Rhinolophus ferrumequinum: one gene and its partner. The protein of the gene in region 2 interacts with the protein of the main gene of each other region in a biochemical or structural test. Links are inferred from orthologs where the notes say so. Each region holds a gene or a part of one and is shown on either strand. Other genes may lie near its edges.

Region 1 (7,633 bases), on a different chromosome or scaffold from region 2:
ATTTCGCTTGTTTCCATGTCTTGGCTATTGTGTATGGTGCTGTAATATCGTGGCCCAGTTTTATTCCAAAGGAAATATAGAGCTAAAAAATACCTGTTCATGGGTTTTTCGCTTTGTGGAATGGCTTTGAAGGAAATAGAAACTATATTTTGAGCCTTCATTATGGGCTACTTTTACACTAAATACTCATAAAAATTCCATTATCCACCCTATTTTACAAATGAAGAAACAGATTCAATGAGATTAAGGAACATCTTGGTCACAGAACTGGTTAGTGGCAGAAATGAATTTCAAATCCCGGGCTTTCTATCAAGCCCAGGGAAGCCCAAGGTTTCTACTGCATCATAATTCAATTTATAAAGTGCTATATACATATTCATTCAAGGTATTGTTGCCATTATTATACTCGTTTGACTTGAAATAGGTTTATACACAGAAATTAGCGTAAATGATCTAGTTCAACAAATTTGAACATTAGCATCTTCAATAAGAGATAATATAGAGAGGCTCATTTGCATGTCTTCATTTTCCAAATTTAAGTTCAATGGAAGACAGAAATTGATTTAGGAAGTACAAATGGTGTTAACAGAGCTCACCACCGCCAGTGCTGAAAGAGCTCTAATTAAACATTTATAAAATGGAAGGGGCCCAAGTAATTTTGCCAAAAGGAGGGATATGGAAATTCTGCCCACAGCCAGAACAATGGACATAGATTTGTCAAAACAAAGAACAGTAAAGTGAAGGAAGGCCACTCGGTCCAGCCCTTGTTGTTAAACTTCATGACTATTTTTCCAGTTGCTGGTTTCCTATTCAGTCTAACAAAGAAAAAGATTAAACAAGATTTAACATTTTGCAAATTTATATTATCCTTTAGCAGAAGCCAAAGCACTGCACACAGTAAGTTAAACCAGGGAAAACAATCTCCAAACATTAACAATCTTCAATATGCAATAGCAAAACTTCCCATTTCAGTTCTACAAAAAGAATCTTCAAGACTTGATGCCTACTGTGCATCTTTGGCCCAACTTGAAAGTTGTAATGCTAATACAGACTAAATTTAAATGAGGTCATTACTGCCTGGAACTAATCAATGTATTTTATACTGTTACACAACATCTTGGCTTCCATATTGGCCTGGCAATGGTCTGCCAGTGAGCTACTTCTGGACAGCTGAGAAACAACATCAGTAAACAGACGGGAGGTAAATTAGTCTTGGGTTTAAAGTACAAAACTGAAACAACAAGTCCTGAATACAGTTACAGAATAATGCCCAAGGCACGCTTTATTTCAACATTGTGTGAATGGCAGATTCTTCTCCCTTGGCTCACTGCTGGGCTTTTCAGTGGTGAAAACGACTTCTCAGGTACTAGGCTACAGGTGTCAAGGACCACCTAAGTAAGTCCTTGAAAAAACATTTTGTGTACTTGCACTTAGAATATGGTTCTATTCCCCCCTCTACAACTCCCCCCACCCCCAGCCAAAAGCACTTACTGCGGTATCCCCCAGGCGCTTCCTCAAGCTATAGGTAGTGAGCCGTCCAAAAAAGACATTAAGTGGGTTTCCGCTCTTTTTCTTTGTAATCTCCCTGACACACTGACACACACACACACACACACACACACACAGTCACACACCCGTGCGTCCATGAAAAGAAAGCTTCTAAGCAAACAAACTCTAAGTAAACAAACACAAATGCGCAGACCCAACTCCTGCCACTACTCGAGAAGGCATTAAGAACGTGCCAATTTTATACAGAGATTTTGTTTTTAAACTCTTCTTAGAAACTAGCATGGTTGTGCGCCAACGGCGAATCTTAAATAGCACGTGATTTTTAAGATAGTTAATTTTATCTAAACTATGTATTGTTTCGGGGAGGCTGTGCGTAAAACAGGTAATCTGCAACCTCTTGTCACTCAGTGGCTGGGTTTTAAACGGCTCCACTCACGGGCTTGGTGCAGCCCCAGACCCCACCCTGACAGGTTGTTGAACTCGAACGACTACGGAAAGTCACTTGGACGTTCCAGTTTAACTAGACGATTTTGGAGGGATCTGGGTGTCTGTGTTGGGAAAGGGAGGGGAAGTTAGGGGTGGAAAGAGTTTGCACAGGTCCTTGTTTGCTCAAGAGGCGAGCCTCGGCGGGCGTTCTGGAACACGTGCACACAGCCACCAAAACAAAACCGACCTGGGGGCGGAGGCAAGACCCTCCGGATTAACCGAGTTCAGCCGGATAACCGCTGTGCGGAAGCCCACTGCTTAGTGCACAGGCAGGTGCTGGTTCTCCTGCCAATTTCAACCTCTTCAGCCAGGTGGCTAGCCCTGGTTCTCTGCGGGTCCCGTGCCAGGGATCCCCATCTCCGGGGCTCCGCACCAAACTTTGGGAGGAGGCAGTTCTAGGGGGACTGCAGCGTCCCCTTGTTGCTGCTTTCTCCCTTAATCCTGTGTCCACCTTCAGGTTGGGCATTTTTTCCCGTGGCTCGCACTCAAAGGGTCCAGATTTCTCCCTGCAGTAGTTTCCCTCAAGCGCTGGTTTCTGAACTCCCCTTCCCAGGCCTTGGGCTCCCCCAACGTCGCCCGCCCTCGGGGATGGGCGCGCAAACCGAGCTCCCCTGGCACTTACACGTGGCCACAGCGGGTCCGGACAGGTTGGTGCAACACCTCAAGGCACACCGAGCAGTCGAAGGACGTGATGGGCAGCTCGGTGTCCCTCCTGCGTTCCAGGGCCCGCGGGGTGGCTGAGGCGGGTGAGGATTTGCCGCTATCGCTGCTTAACACCGAGCCCATCGCTGATCCTCTTACCCAGACAGCTGCCAAGAGCTCAGTGCCTGCTGCCGGGTTGTTTTGTTGTCCTGCGGTGGAGGAAGGAAGTCCCGGCCCAGCTGTGATCGCCGCCTCCCAGCGCGCGCAGCAACCGCAGCCTAGATGCAGCCTCCTCGGTCGCAGCGCCCAACCTCGGCCTAGGGCAGGCCGAGAGCGCGGCAGAGCGTCTGAAATTGCCTTTTGCTCGTTGCCTTGGTTGAGGCGCGGAGGCGGAGGCGGCAGCTGTACGGTTCACGCTGTAAAGTCTCGTAGTCCTACGAGGATTGAAACCTGAAACCTCAACTGCAGAGCAGAGGACCTGGTTGGGCAGTGAACTTTCCAGGCTATCGTGCAATCCTCCTCCCCCACAGTTAAGGAAAGCGCGGGCCTGGTTATACTTTATGGGAATCAGGGCACACCCCCTTGTAAGGTGGTGGTCCTAGCAGTCCTGCACTGTTGTAATCACAATAAGCTACAAAGATGTATGATGATTGAGCATCTCTTAAGACAGTGCTATTCACTACTTCAGTCAGTACCCCATTAATGGAGAGGTAGCGTGGGGTAGTGGAAAGAGCTCTGAAGACCTACATTCGAAAGCCAACACCACGACAAGATGTCTAGTGCTAAATTCTACAATCACTAGTTTCCTCGACTCAGGATCTCCTGCTGTTGTTTGTATTCTCGGCCCCATACTCTTTTAAACATAACCCAATATATCATTTATTAATTGACACATTTAATAAGTCTTATTTAGTGCCCACTACATGCCAGACTCCATTCTGGTGATGGAACCCAGTTCCCAACAAGCAAACAAAACTCTGGTTCTCATAGAACGTACTTAAAAAGAAAACTTATTTTGAGATCATTATAGTTTACATGTTTATTAAGAAATAATACATACTAATACATAATATATACAATACATACATACAATACTACATAATATAGTCACACATATAATACATTAAAATCCCGTAAACTTCACCCAGTTCCCGCCAGACTTAAATTTAAAGAGAAGATGTAAGTAATCAACAAATAAATAAGTGAACAAGATCATTTCAGATAATAAGAGCCATGAAAAAGATAAAACAAGGAGTGAGGCTGCGGGGGAGAATAAGAAGGTCAGAGACTTTTTGGATGAGGTGACATTTGAGCAGAGTCATGAATAATAAAAAGGAGTCAACTATTCAAAGGTTTAGGGAAAAGCTTGCTAAGCACTGGGGACAGTGAGTGAGGCAAGAACAAAACACAGAAACAGTGTGGAGCCAGAGCATCGGGGACCAGCGCGCGTAGATGGGATGAGATAAGGTAGCAGACAGGCCTGAGCGTATCCAATCTTACAGGCCAGGTCCAGGAGTTTGGATTTTATTCAAGGTGCCGTGATTTGATTTACTCTGCTGTGTGTGCTCAAAAAGACAGGAACAAAATAAGAAAGCAGAGAAACCAGTTAGGAGGCTACTGAATTTGTCTAAGTGAGGATGATAAAGGTTGGTACCAGGGAGTTATCTGGGTAGAAGGTGAGAGGTGTACAGGTTCGGGATATATTTAGACAAAAGACCTAAAAGGGCTTGCTAATGAATTGGGTATCTTTAAAAGAAAAACCAAAACCTTCCCTTGATCCCTACATGTCTCTCAGCTCCTGCCCTGTGTCCTCTTTTAGGCCAAATTTCTGGACCTGATTCTCTACATTTATGTCTCAATTTCTTAATTATTCCCTCTTTATCCAGTCCAACCTGGACTCTGAACCAACCACTCAGCCTCCATCTGTTCAAAAATTGCTTCAATCCCAATGTCACCAGTGAGTGGTTTTCATGTGGCTAAATCCAATAGATTCTTTTCTGTCCTTTTCTTGCTTGACTTCTCAATTACATTTTATTTGTCAGTGTTGATTTGCTCCCTCCTTATAATAGAAAAACTCTTTGGCTTCCTTCCTTCCTCTCTCTCTCTCTCTCTCTCTCTCTCTCTCTCTCTCTTTTTCTTTCTGGCTGTTCTTTCTCAGTCTCCTTCACTGGCTTCTCCTTCTCCAGGGGAAAGCTAAATGCTAGAGATCTAAAGATTCTGTCTTAGGCTCTTTACCCTTCTTATTCTTCATTCCTTCCTTAAGAATCTCCAAAACCACATAGATTCTGTTAATCATCTAGATTCTGAAGACATTCAAGTATTTATCTCTACTCTAGGCTACTCAAAGACCCAACTATTTACTTGACATACCAACCTGGTTGCATTAGTCACCTTCAGCTCAACATGTCCAGTAAAAAGTCATCATAGTAAACTCTGTTCTACCTCCAGTTGTTTATCTCTCTTAGTAAATGGCACTAGTAGCTAGTGGCACTGGTAGCTCAGTCCAAACATCTGAAGCCATCCTCGATTTCTTCCTCTTCCTCATTCACATTAAATCAATCACAGTCACAATCAGAATTCTGCCTCATTTTCTCTCTCAGTAGTTCTTGCATGGTTTCATTTTCTACTATTCCCATGGCCAACTACCACATACTTTAAATCATTGTGTCCTCTTGTGTGACCTGTTGCAATAGTTCCTATCTGCTCCACCTACGCCCACTTTTACCACACTGACCAAGCTATTATCCACATTGCAACTAAAGTGACCGTTTGAAAAGCAAATATCTTATGTTGCCCCATGCTCAAAACACTTTAATGGCTCTCCATAACCCTTAGGATTAAATTCCAAATCCTTATCATGATTTACGAAGCCCTGCAGATCTTAATTCTTTCAATCACTATAATCAGTTAGGACACCTTCAGTGGCAGGGAATAGAAGTTCAACTGAAAGTGCCTTAATTGATAAGGATATTTACTATCAAATATGGTAAATTAGTCCAGAGGTAAGCAGCACAACAGTTCAATGATGTCCTCAAGGTCTCAGCCACTTGCCATCCTCAGTGTATCAGCAGTGTCTTCCTCATGGCAGAAAGATGGCAGGCACTGTTCCAGTAATCACATCTATACGCAACAATCTCCAAAAAGCAGAAAGGAAAGATAGGGTTTCCTTCTTCTAGCTCTCTCTCCTTTTAAGTAGGAGGAAAATGAGGCCTTCTTCTGCAGACGTTCCCTTATATCTTATTGGTCCAAATTGGGCCCAATGACCATTCTTAAACAGTCATTAGCAAAAGGCAATAAGGGTACTCTGATTGGCTTCAACTCATAATTTATCCCACAGAGTGTGGCCTTTCAGTTATCTGAACAATATAATTTGGGGTTCTTTTACCAAGAAAGAAGAGGATAAGGCAATGGATAAGCCAACAATAGGGTCTCCCAAAATAACCATTTTTGACCCCATCTGCTATCACTCTCTCCCTTATTCTGCATGGTTCTGAATTTCTCTGCTTCTTTCAATTCCTTAAGTGTACTGAGTTCTTTCTGTCCTCAGAATCTTTATCCATGCTTTTCTTGTTGTTTGCTTTTTGTGTTGTTGTTGTTGATAGCACTTTTTATTAACACTCGCCACACTCAACTTGTTCCAATTCAAATTTCAGGTCTTAGTTTGGTGACTTTTTACACCACATCCATCTCACACTATCTCCTTGATTCTTTCATAGCCTGCTGTATTTATTTGCCTTACTATTTATATATTTTGCTCCTAGCTACTCCAAAAGTTAGAGATAAGAGATGTAAAATACCTGGCATGTAGGAGGAGATGATGTGTATATTTATATGTGTAAGTCAGTACTAATCTCATGGGGTAGATATTATTGTCCCCATTTTATAGCCTCAGAAAATTTAATTTAGCAAAAGGTCACATGGTAAGTGGCAGAATCATGTTTTCATTCTAGATCTTTTAAAATCCATGTGCTTTTCACTATGGCACTTGAGAAGAATCATAGAAAAGAATAAGATAAAATTAAATAAAATAATGCAGGAAAATGGGACCTGGGAAGATAGATAAAAGGTAAGCATCTGATATTATTTGTAAGGCTCTTAATAAACGTATAAAGGTGGCAATAATGATGATTAAGGTATCCACCAGAGAATAAATTCTCAATCCAGACTCTAAGATCGGAAGGGCATCAGAAGTATAGGTTAGTACAAAGGAAATTTGAAAGCCCTAGAATCAATGTCCCTGGTATCAAGAAGGCTAATGTATCTCTCAGTAAACCAAAAGGAGAGCACAACTGCCAGAAAAAAAAAACCAAAAAAAAACTTTATTTTCTTGTAGGAGTGATGAAAAGAAATGAATTTACCATTTCAGGTAGTGTTGAAAGTATGAGAAAGACATTCCTATATTCTTTGAAGTTTGTTTTAGTACCAAAACCTTAGAGGAAATCTAAATGTCCATAATAGGGAAATGTTTTCTTAAAGTGTAGTAAATTTACTCAACAAATAGATAAAACAACTTTAAAAAAATGGTGCAGCTCACCATTTTTAATCCTATTTGCAGTATTTCATTTTAAAAATGCACGTAGGCGAAATGACATATGGGTATTTATTACAGTATTGTTTGTACTGGCAAAATATTAGAAACACTTTAAGTGTCCACCAATAAAAGACTGATTACATACATTATGGTACATCTTTACAATGGAATACTCTGTAGTTATTAAAAAGAAAGACAATTCTATAACCACACTCAGAGAACTCTAACATATAAATGTATTACCAAGTGAAAAAAGCATTAGAACTAATATAAAATAATATTGGATGTCAACTGTAATTTTTTAAAAATTAATTAAATAATTAATAGATTTTAAAAAGCATTAGAACAACTGTATGTATAGTACACTATCAATTATATTTTTAAAAACCCATAGGCATGCATACACACATGTATGTATATACATGTGTTGATATATATAAATAAACACACTATGCACTGATATAT
Region 2 (8,624 bases):
CTGGAGAAAAATCAAAAGGCAGAAACTGGAAGGAATTAGACCATTGAAAGTTAGGTCCTGCATGAAAACTACATATATTTATGGCTTTTCTTCTGAGGGTCCTCCCCAGTCCACATGGAAGTTAGAACACAAGCAGAAAGCCATAGTCATTGAATTAGAAGATGAACTCTGGCGCTGCCAGAGTGATGATACTGGGGGAAATTTCAGAAAGAAAGGAAACAAAGGGGAAACGCTACAATTTGTATATAACTTTCACTCAACTCCTTAGCTGACCTTGAAACAAACATGCATGGGAGATTCCGAGGAGCCCAGGTAAGCAGTAGCTGGAAGGCTGAAAGAGCTCATCAGACATCAGCTGCCACCACAGGGAAAACAGAATTTGGAGTTACTGAGTTTCACCAACTTAACAAGGGCAGGGAAAACAGGGCTTTTCACTGAAACCCCTACTGAGCCACACCTTTGCAGTAAAGACCATGACCCAGGACTAAGGGATTCACCTTGCACTAAGGGCACAGCTGAACAGACCCACCACAATGTAAAACAAAGCTACAAATTCAAAATGAGTAGCTGGTAAATTATCATGCTAGAACAAAAGCAACACTCCCCAGTGTAAAATGATAGAATCTAGAGATTCTATAGCATAGCTATAATGTCCAGTATAAAACAAAATTACTAGACGTGAAGGTACCCATAGTCAAGAAAAAGCAGTTACAAAAAACATACTTTAAATAATCCACATGATGAAATTAGAAGACAAAGACTTTAAAGACGCTATTAGAAATATGTACATGAACTTAAAAGAGGGTTATATTAATGAACAGATGGAGGTTCTCAGCTGAGAAATAGAAAAAGAAGCAACGAAAGTCTCCAAATTTTTAAAAACAGTATTTGAAATGAAAAATTCACTGTAAGCCTTACCAATACATTGGAGAAGCCAGAAGGGAAATGACTTCAGATAGAAACCGGTATTTACAGATAAGAATGAATATCACCCGAAGTGGTAAATAGATGGGAAAATAGAAAAGACTATAATTTTCTTATTTAAAAGACAACTGACTTTTTACAATAAAGTTTGTAACATTGTATTATGTGGTTCGTTAGATCTAGAGAAGTAAAAATTATGACTAGCACAAAGGATGGACTGGGGTAGATGGCATTATGTGGTTGCAAGGATCTTAAATTTTACCTGGTACGATACAATAATTCTAAGTAGACTGATAAAATCTAAGGATGAGAGAGAGGCATGTAGCTAAAAGAATACAGTCATGGGCTCATGACAATGTATAGTCAACAATGGTCTACATATATGACGGGTCCCATAAGATTGTAATGGAGTTGAAAACTTCGTATTGTCTAGGGATGTCATAGTTGTAACATTGGAGCACAATGCATTCTTGTGATGCTGGTGTAAACAAACCTGCGCTGCCAGTCATATAAAATGATAGCATATACAATCTTGTACAGTGTGTACTAATGATAAATGACTGTGGCTAGTTTTTGTATTTACTGCACTATATATTTTAGGGTGCACTCTTTCTACTTATATAAAAAAAGTTTGCTGTAAAACAATATGTTGTGTTATACCAGCAGCAGCCTCATCCAGCTTGTGTTTACTGTGTCTCTTGATGGCATCCTTTTCTCTAGTGCTTGATTTAATCTCGTGTTGTTTTGTACAGTAACATGTTGCATAGGCTTGTAGCATAGGAGCAACAGGCTATACCATGTAGCTTAGGTGTGTTATAGATTATACCATCTAGGTTTGTGTAAGTGCATTCTATGATGTTCGCACAATGATAAAATTGCCTGACAAGGCATTTCTCAGAACTTACCCCATTGTTAAGCGGCATGTGACTGTGCAGAGAATTATAGCTAAAAGAGAAAAGTAATGTACATGATTAACCCAAATTGAAGGAATATAGGAACAAAGGAACAAAATTGGATGAAACAAACAGTAAACTTGCTGTTTTAAGCTCATGTCAATAACTAAATGTAAATGGATTTACTGCTCCAATTTAAAGCCAGAGATTATCAGACTGGATACAATAAAGGAAGACTCAACTATAAGCTGTATACTAGAGATGTGCTTTAAATATTAGAAGACGTTGAAAGCAATAGGATGGAAAAAGATATACCATGAAAACAGTAACCATAAGAAAGCTGTTACAGGTATAGTACTTTGACATAACAAGCATTAACAGAGACAAAAGAGACATTTCATAATGATAAAAGGCATAATTTATCAGGAAAATACAACCTTAAATGTGTCTGTATCTAATAACAGCTATAAAATTTATGATGCAAAAACTGATAAAACAAAAGGGACAAGTGGACAAATCAATAATCATAGTTGGAGATTTTAACAACCCCTCGCAGTACTTGACAAAACAAATAGAAAATTAGTAAGGATATAGGTGACTTGAACCACACTATAACTCAACCTGAATAATTGACATGTATAAGAACATTACACCCAAGAACTGCAGAATACACATTCTTCTTAAGTGTATCTGGGACATATATCGAGATAGTCCATATGCTGGGCCGTAAAACAAGTTTCAACAAATTTCGAAAGGTTGAAATCTTACAACATATTAAACTGATCACAACAGATTAAAATCAGAAATCAGTAACCCTCAAATGTTGAGGAAATTCCCAATATTTGAAAAATAAACATCATACTTCTCAATTAACTCATAGGTTAAAAAATCACAAGGATATTAGAAATTATTTCAAATGGAATGACATTGAAAACCATATATCAAAATTGATGGGATGTTAGAACTTATCAGCTGACAAAAGGGAAATTTATAGCCTCAAATGCTTACATTGGAAAAGAAAATGTAAAATCAGTGATCAAAACTTCTACCTTAACAACCTAGTAAAGGAAGAGCAAATTAAACCTAAAGTGGGAGAAAAGAATAATGATTAGAGCGGAAATCAATGAAATAGAAAATAGAGTAACAATTTTGAAAAGCTAAAGCCAAAGTTGGTTTTTGAAAAGATAAATAAAATTGGTAAATTCCTGGCAAGACTGATTTTTTAAAAAAGGTATAGGATAAGGAATATCATGAACAACTTTTTGCCAGTAAATGTAATAACTTAGAGGAAATGGTCAAATTCCTTGAAAAGCACAACTTACCAAAATTGATTTGAGATCAAATAAAAAAGCAGAATAGCCTATGTCTAGTACAGAAATTGAATAGTTATAAACAATCTTCAAAGAAAGAAAACTCCAAGCCTTAATGGTTTCGTTTGTGGATTCTGTTAAATGTTTCGGAAAGAAATGATACCAGTCTTACACGAACTCGTGTAGGAGGCCAGCATAACCCTGACATTACAAGAAAAGAAACTTACAGACCAATATCCCTTATGAACATAGATACAAAAATATTAGCAAATTGAATCCAGAAATATATATTAAAAAGGATGCTACATCATGACCAAATGGACTTTTTCCCAGGAATTCTAGGTTGGTTTAATACTCAGGAAAAAAAATCAATGAAATTCAGGTATACTAACAATATATGATCACCACAATAGATGCAAAAAAAAAAAAATTGAAAAATTCAATACTCATTCATGATAAATACTCTGAGTAAACCAGGAATAAAAGAAGATCAATCTGATAAAAGGCATCTAAAAAAAACCTACAGCCAACATTGTAATTAAAGTGAAACATGGATCGTTTTCCCACTGAGATTACTATAAGATAAGGGTGTCAACTCTTCACCACTTATATTCAACATTTTATTGGAGATCATAGGTTGTGCAATAAGGAAACAAAAGGCATAAAGATTGGAAAGGAAAAAGTAAAAACCATGTGTTGACAAAGGATATGATTGTTTACCTAGCAAAGTTTAAGGAATCTACAGAACAATTATGAGACCTAATAAGTGAATTTATCAGTGTTGTATAAAACGAGGTCAAGAAACAGAACATTTGTATTTCTATATACTAACAATTTCAAAATTAAACTTTAAAAATAATTCCATTTAGAGTAGCATCAAAGAACATGAAATGTTAAGATTTAACAGATAGGTATAAAAACACTACTCTTAAAACTCTAAAATATCTCTGAGAAATTAAAGACAAATAAATGAAAAATTAAAGACCTAAGTAAATGAATTCATGGATTAGAATTCAATATTGTTAATATGTCAGTTCTCCCCTAGTTCATTTGTAGGATCAATGCAGTCCTGATCACAGTCTCAATAGGCCTGTGTGTGTGTGTGTGTGTGTGTGTGAACTGACAAGTTGATTCTTATGTCATAGGGAAATGCAAAGAGCCTGGAATAGCCAACACAGTCTTTACAAAGAAGAATAAAACAGTATCAGCAAATAAATGAAACACGAGTTAAAAATAGACCTGCACACATACAGTCAATTGATTCTTTTGACAAAGATGCCAAGGCTATTCAGTGGGAGAAGGAAAATTTTTCAACAAATGAAACAATTTGTGCTGGAACAATTAGAAGTATGGTGAAAAAAATGAAGCCTTGACCCCTACCTCACACCAAAACAAAATTAATTTGAGATGATCATAGACCTAAATGTAAAAGCTAAGAACACAAAGACTCTAAAAGAAAACACAAAATATCTTCATGACCTTGGACTAGGTAGAGAGTTATTAAAGAGAACACAAAAATCAGTAAACAAAAGAAAAAAACTAATAAATTAGGTTTCACCAAAATAAACTTCTACTCAAATGACACCTTTAAGAAAATGAAATGGTAAGTCACAGACTGGGAGAAGATATTTGAAATACATGTATTTGACAATGAGTTTGTATCCAGTAAATTAAAAACTTGCAAATCCATAACGCAAAGAAAAACCACTCAATCAGGCAAAAGATTGGAGCAGATATTCACAAAAAAAGATACATGAATGGCGAATAAGTATATGCAAATGTGCCCAATATCATCATTTGAGGAATTAAAATTAAAACCACAGTAATAGGTCATTTCATACCAACCAAGGTGGCAAACAAAACTGACCAGTGTCTGTATTTACTGGATGTGTATTTATTGGAGCTCTCTACCGGTGGGAATGCAAAATGGTAAGGCCATTTTGGAAGAGGTTGCAGTTTCCTGTCAAGTTAAACATACGCTTACACTTACCTTAGGGCGCACACAACCTGGGGCAAGTGGTTCCACTCCATGCAGTTTTCAAAACTCAGAATTGTACACTTCAAATCTGTGCACTATATTGAATCTCAATTTTACCGCTATAAAAGCAAAACAAAAAAGTAAGATAACATGAAAATCAAAAAAGCGACGCCCGCAGGCGTCGGCCAGCGAGCGCCAACGGGTGGGTAAAGCAAGCTGCGGGAGAGGAAACGAAACCAAGCGGGGACAGGGAGGCGGGGCGGCTGTGTCCTTTGGTAACCCAGCCTCCGCGGCCCGGCCGGGCTAGTAGTTGCAGTTTCGTTTTTCGGGAAAATCCCTCCCGGTTCTCTGCGGGCTCCCGGGGAGTGGAGCGCAGGTGAGACGGGAAGTCGAGCTGCCGCTATGACGGCCGAGGAGCGGCGGAATCTGCACGCTTTCCAAAACTATGTCACGAAGATTCTGGACCCTACCTACATCCTGAGCTACATGGCCCCCTGGTTTAAGGAGGGTGAGTGGTCCCCAGCGGCGCCCGCCTCTTGGGGCCGGAAAACAATTCAGGACGTGTTTTCCTTTACTTCCCCCCTCCACCCTTCTTTTAATCAATATAGGTAGCCTGCTGGGAACGCAAGATCCATCCATGTTGTCACAAATGTTTCTGTTTCTATATCATCTTTTCTTACCACCGAATAGTATTCCATTGTGTATATATACCACGACTTCTTTATCCATTCATCTATGGAAGGACATTTTGGTTGTTTCCATGTCTTGGCCACCGTAAACAAAGCTGCAGTGAACATTGGAGTACACTTGTCTTTATATATAAATGTTTTCAGATTTTTCGGGTAGATACCCAGGAGAGGGATTGCTGGGTCATATGGTAATTCTATTCATAATTGTTTGAGGAACCTCCACACTGCCTTCCATAATGGCTGCACCAATCTGCATTCCCACCAACAGTGGATAAGGGTTCCTTTTTCTCCACAGCCTCTCCAACACTTGTTACTATTTGTCTTGTTGATGTATAGCCATTCTGACTGGGGTGAGCTGATATCTCATTGTGGTTTTTATTTGCATTTCTCTGATGATTAGTGATGTTGAGCATTTTTTCATATGTCTATTTGCCATTTGTATGTCCTCTTTGGAGAAATGTCTCTTCAGGTCGTCTGCCCATTTTTCACTTGGGTTGTTTGTTTTTTAGTTGTTGAGTTTCATGAGTTCCTTGTATATTTTGGATATTAGCCCCTTATTGGAGGGACTGTTTGCAAAAATCATCTCCCATTCAGTTGGTTGCCTTTTTATTTTGTCGATAGTTTCTTTTGCTGTGCAGAAGAAGCTTTTAAGTTTCATATAGTCCCATTCGTTTATTTTAGCTTTTACTTCCCTTGCCTTTGGAGTCAAATTCATAAAATGCTCTTTGAACCCAAGGTCCATAAGTTTAGTACCTGTGTTTTCTTCTATGCAGTTTATTGTTTCAGGTCTTATGCTTAAGTCTTTGATCCATTTTGAATTAATTTTGGTACATGGTGACAGCAGTCCAATTTCATTCTTTTGCACGTGGATATCCAGTTCTGCCAGCACCATTTATTGAAGAGGCTGTCTTTTCTCCATTGTATGTTTTTTGCTTCTTTGTCAAAAATTATCTGTCCATATTTATGTGGTTTTATTTCTGGGTTCTCAATTTTATTCCATTGGTCTATATGTCTGTTTTTCTGCCAATACCATGCTGTTTTGATTATTGTAGACTTGTAGTACAAGCTAAAGTCAGGGAGTGTAATACCTCCAGTATTGTTCTTTTTTCTTAAGATTGCTTTGGCTATTCAGGGTCTTTTGTGGTTCCAAACAAATCTGATCATTTTTTGTTCTATTTCTTTAAAAAATTCCATTGGGATTTTGATGGGGATTGCATTAAATCTGTATATTGCTTTGGGTAATATGGCCATTTTAACTATGTTGATTCTTCCAATCCATGAGCATGGAATGTCTTTCCATTTCTTTGTGTCTTCTTCAATTTCTTTTAAAAATGTCTTCTAGTTTTCAGCATATAGATCTTTCACATCCTTGGTTAAAGAATAAAAGGTATTTTATTCTTTTTGCTGCAATTGCAAAAGGAATTGTTTTTTGTATTTCTTTTTCTGCGATTTCATTGTTAGTGTATAGGAATGCAATGGACTTTTGTACGTTGATTTTGTAGCCGGCAACTTTACTGTATTCGTTGATTGTTTCTAATAGCTTTTTGGTGGAGTCTTCAGGGTTTTCTATATATAGCATCTTGTCATCTGCAAAGAGTGATAATTTAACTTCTTCATTCCCAATTTGGATGTCTTTTATTTCTTTCTCTTGCCTGATTGCTCTGGCAAGGACTTCCAACACTATGTTGAAAAGCAGAGGTGATAGGGGACAGCCCTGTCGTGTTCCTGAACATAGAGCAAAGGGCTTCAGTTTTTCACCATTAATTATGAGATTAGCTGAGGGTTTGTCATATATGGCCTTTATTATGTTAAGGTATTTTCCTTCTATACCTATTTTATTAAGTGTTTTTTAATCATAAATGGATGTTGTATCTTGTCAAATGCTTTTTCTGCATCAATTGATATAATCATATGATTTTTGTCCTTTATTTTGTTTATGTGATGTATCACATTGATGGATTTGCAGATGTTGAACCATCCTTGTGCTCCGGGGATGAACCCCACATGGTTGTGATGAATAATCTTTTTAATGCATTGTTGTATTCGATTTGCCAGAATTTTGTTTAGGATTTTTGCATCTGTATTCATCAGAGATATTGGTCTGTAGTTTTCTTTTTTTGTGTTGTCTTTACCAGATTCTGGTATCAGGGTAATGTTGGCCTCACAAAATGAGTTAGGGAGTACTGTCTCTTCAGTTTTTTGGAAGAGTTTGAGCAGGATTGGTATTAGATCCTCTTTGAAGGTTTGGTAGAATTCACTAGTGAAGCCATCCGGTCCAGGACTTTTGCTTTTGGGAAGGTTTTGGATGACTGATTCAATTTCGTTACTGGTGATCGGTCTGTTTAGATTTTCCAGTTCTTCATGGTTCAGCCTAGGAAGGCTATGTTTCTAAGAATTTGTCCATTTCTTCTAGATTATTGAATTTGGTGGCATATAGTCCTTCATAGTATTCTTGGATGATCCTTTATATTTCTGTGGTATCCGTGATAACTTCCCCTTTTTCATTTCTGATTTTGTTAATTAGTGTCTTCTCTCTTTTTATCTTAGTGTGTCTAGCCAAGGGTTTATCAATTTTATTAATCTTTTCAAAGAACCAGCTCTTTGTCACATTAATTTTTTCTTTTATCTTTTTGTTCTCTATTTCATTTAGTTCTGCTCTGATTTTTGTTATTTCCTTTCTTCTGCTGACTTTCGGTTTCATTTGTTCTTCTTTTTCTAGTTCTTTAAGGTGTAACATGAGGTTATTTATTTGGGATTTTTCTTGTTTCTTGAGATAGGCCTGTAATGATATAAATTTCCCTCTTAAAACTGCTTTCGCTGCATCCCAAAA

What was found. The genes of interacting proteins can lie anywhere in the genome.
Region 1: of the proteins of RIGI (region 2) and RNF125, one has a biochemical effect on the other in vitro, tested with the Homo sapiens proteins (3 studies listed by BioGRID and IntAct, with this or other methods). The link is inferred for Rhinolophus ferrumequinum from reciprocal best matches to the Homo sapiens genes RIGI and RNF125.

What each region holds. Positions count from the first base shown.
Region 1 is NC_046302.1:26,750,954-26,758,586, reverse strand, and holds the start of RNF125 (E3 ubiquitin-protein ligase RNF125), read right to left. Parts: upstream 3,134-7,633; 5' UTR 2,782-3,133; coding exon 2,618-2,781; intron 1-2,617. UniProt on the Homo sapiens protein: E3 ubiquitin-protein ligase that mediates ubiquitination and subsequent proteasomal degradation of target proteins, such as RIGI, MAVS/IPS1, IFIH1/MDA5, JAK1 and p53/TP53.
Region 2 is NC_046295.1:49,873,718-49,882,341, reverse strand, and holds the start of RIGI (antiviral innate immune response receptor RIG-I), read left to right. Parts: upstream 1-5,412; 5' UTR 5,413-5,507; coding exon 5,508-5,613; intron 5,614-8,624.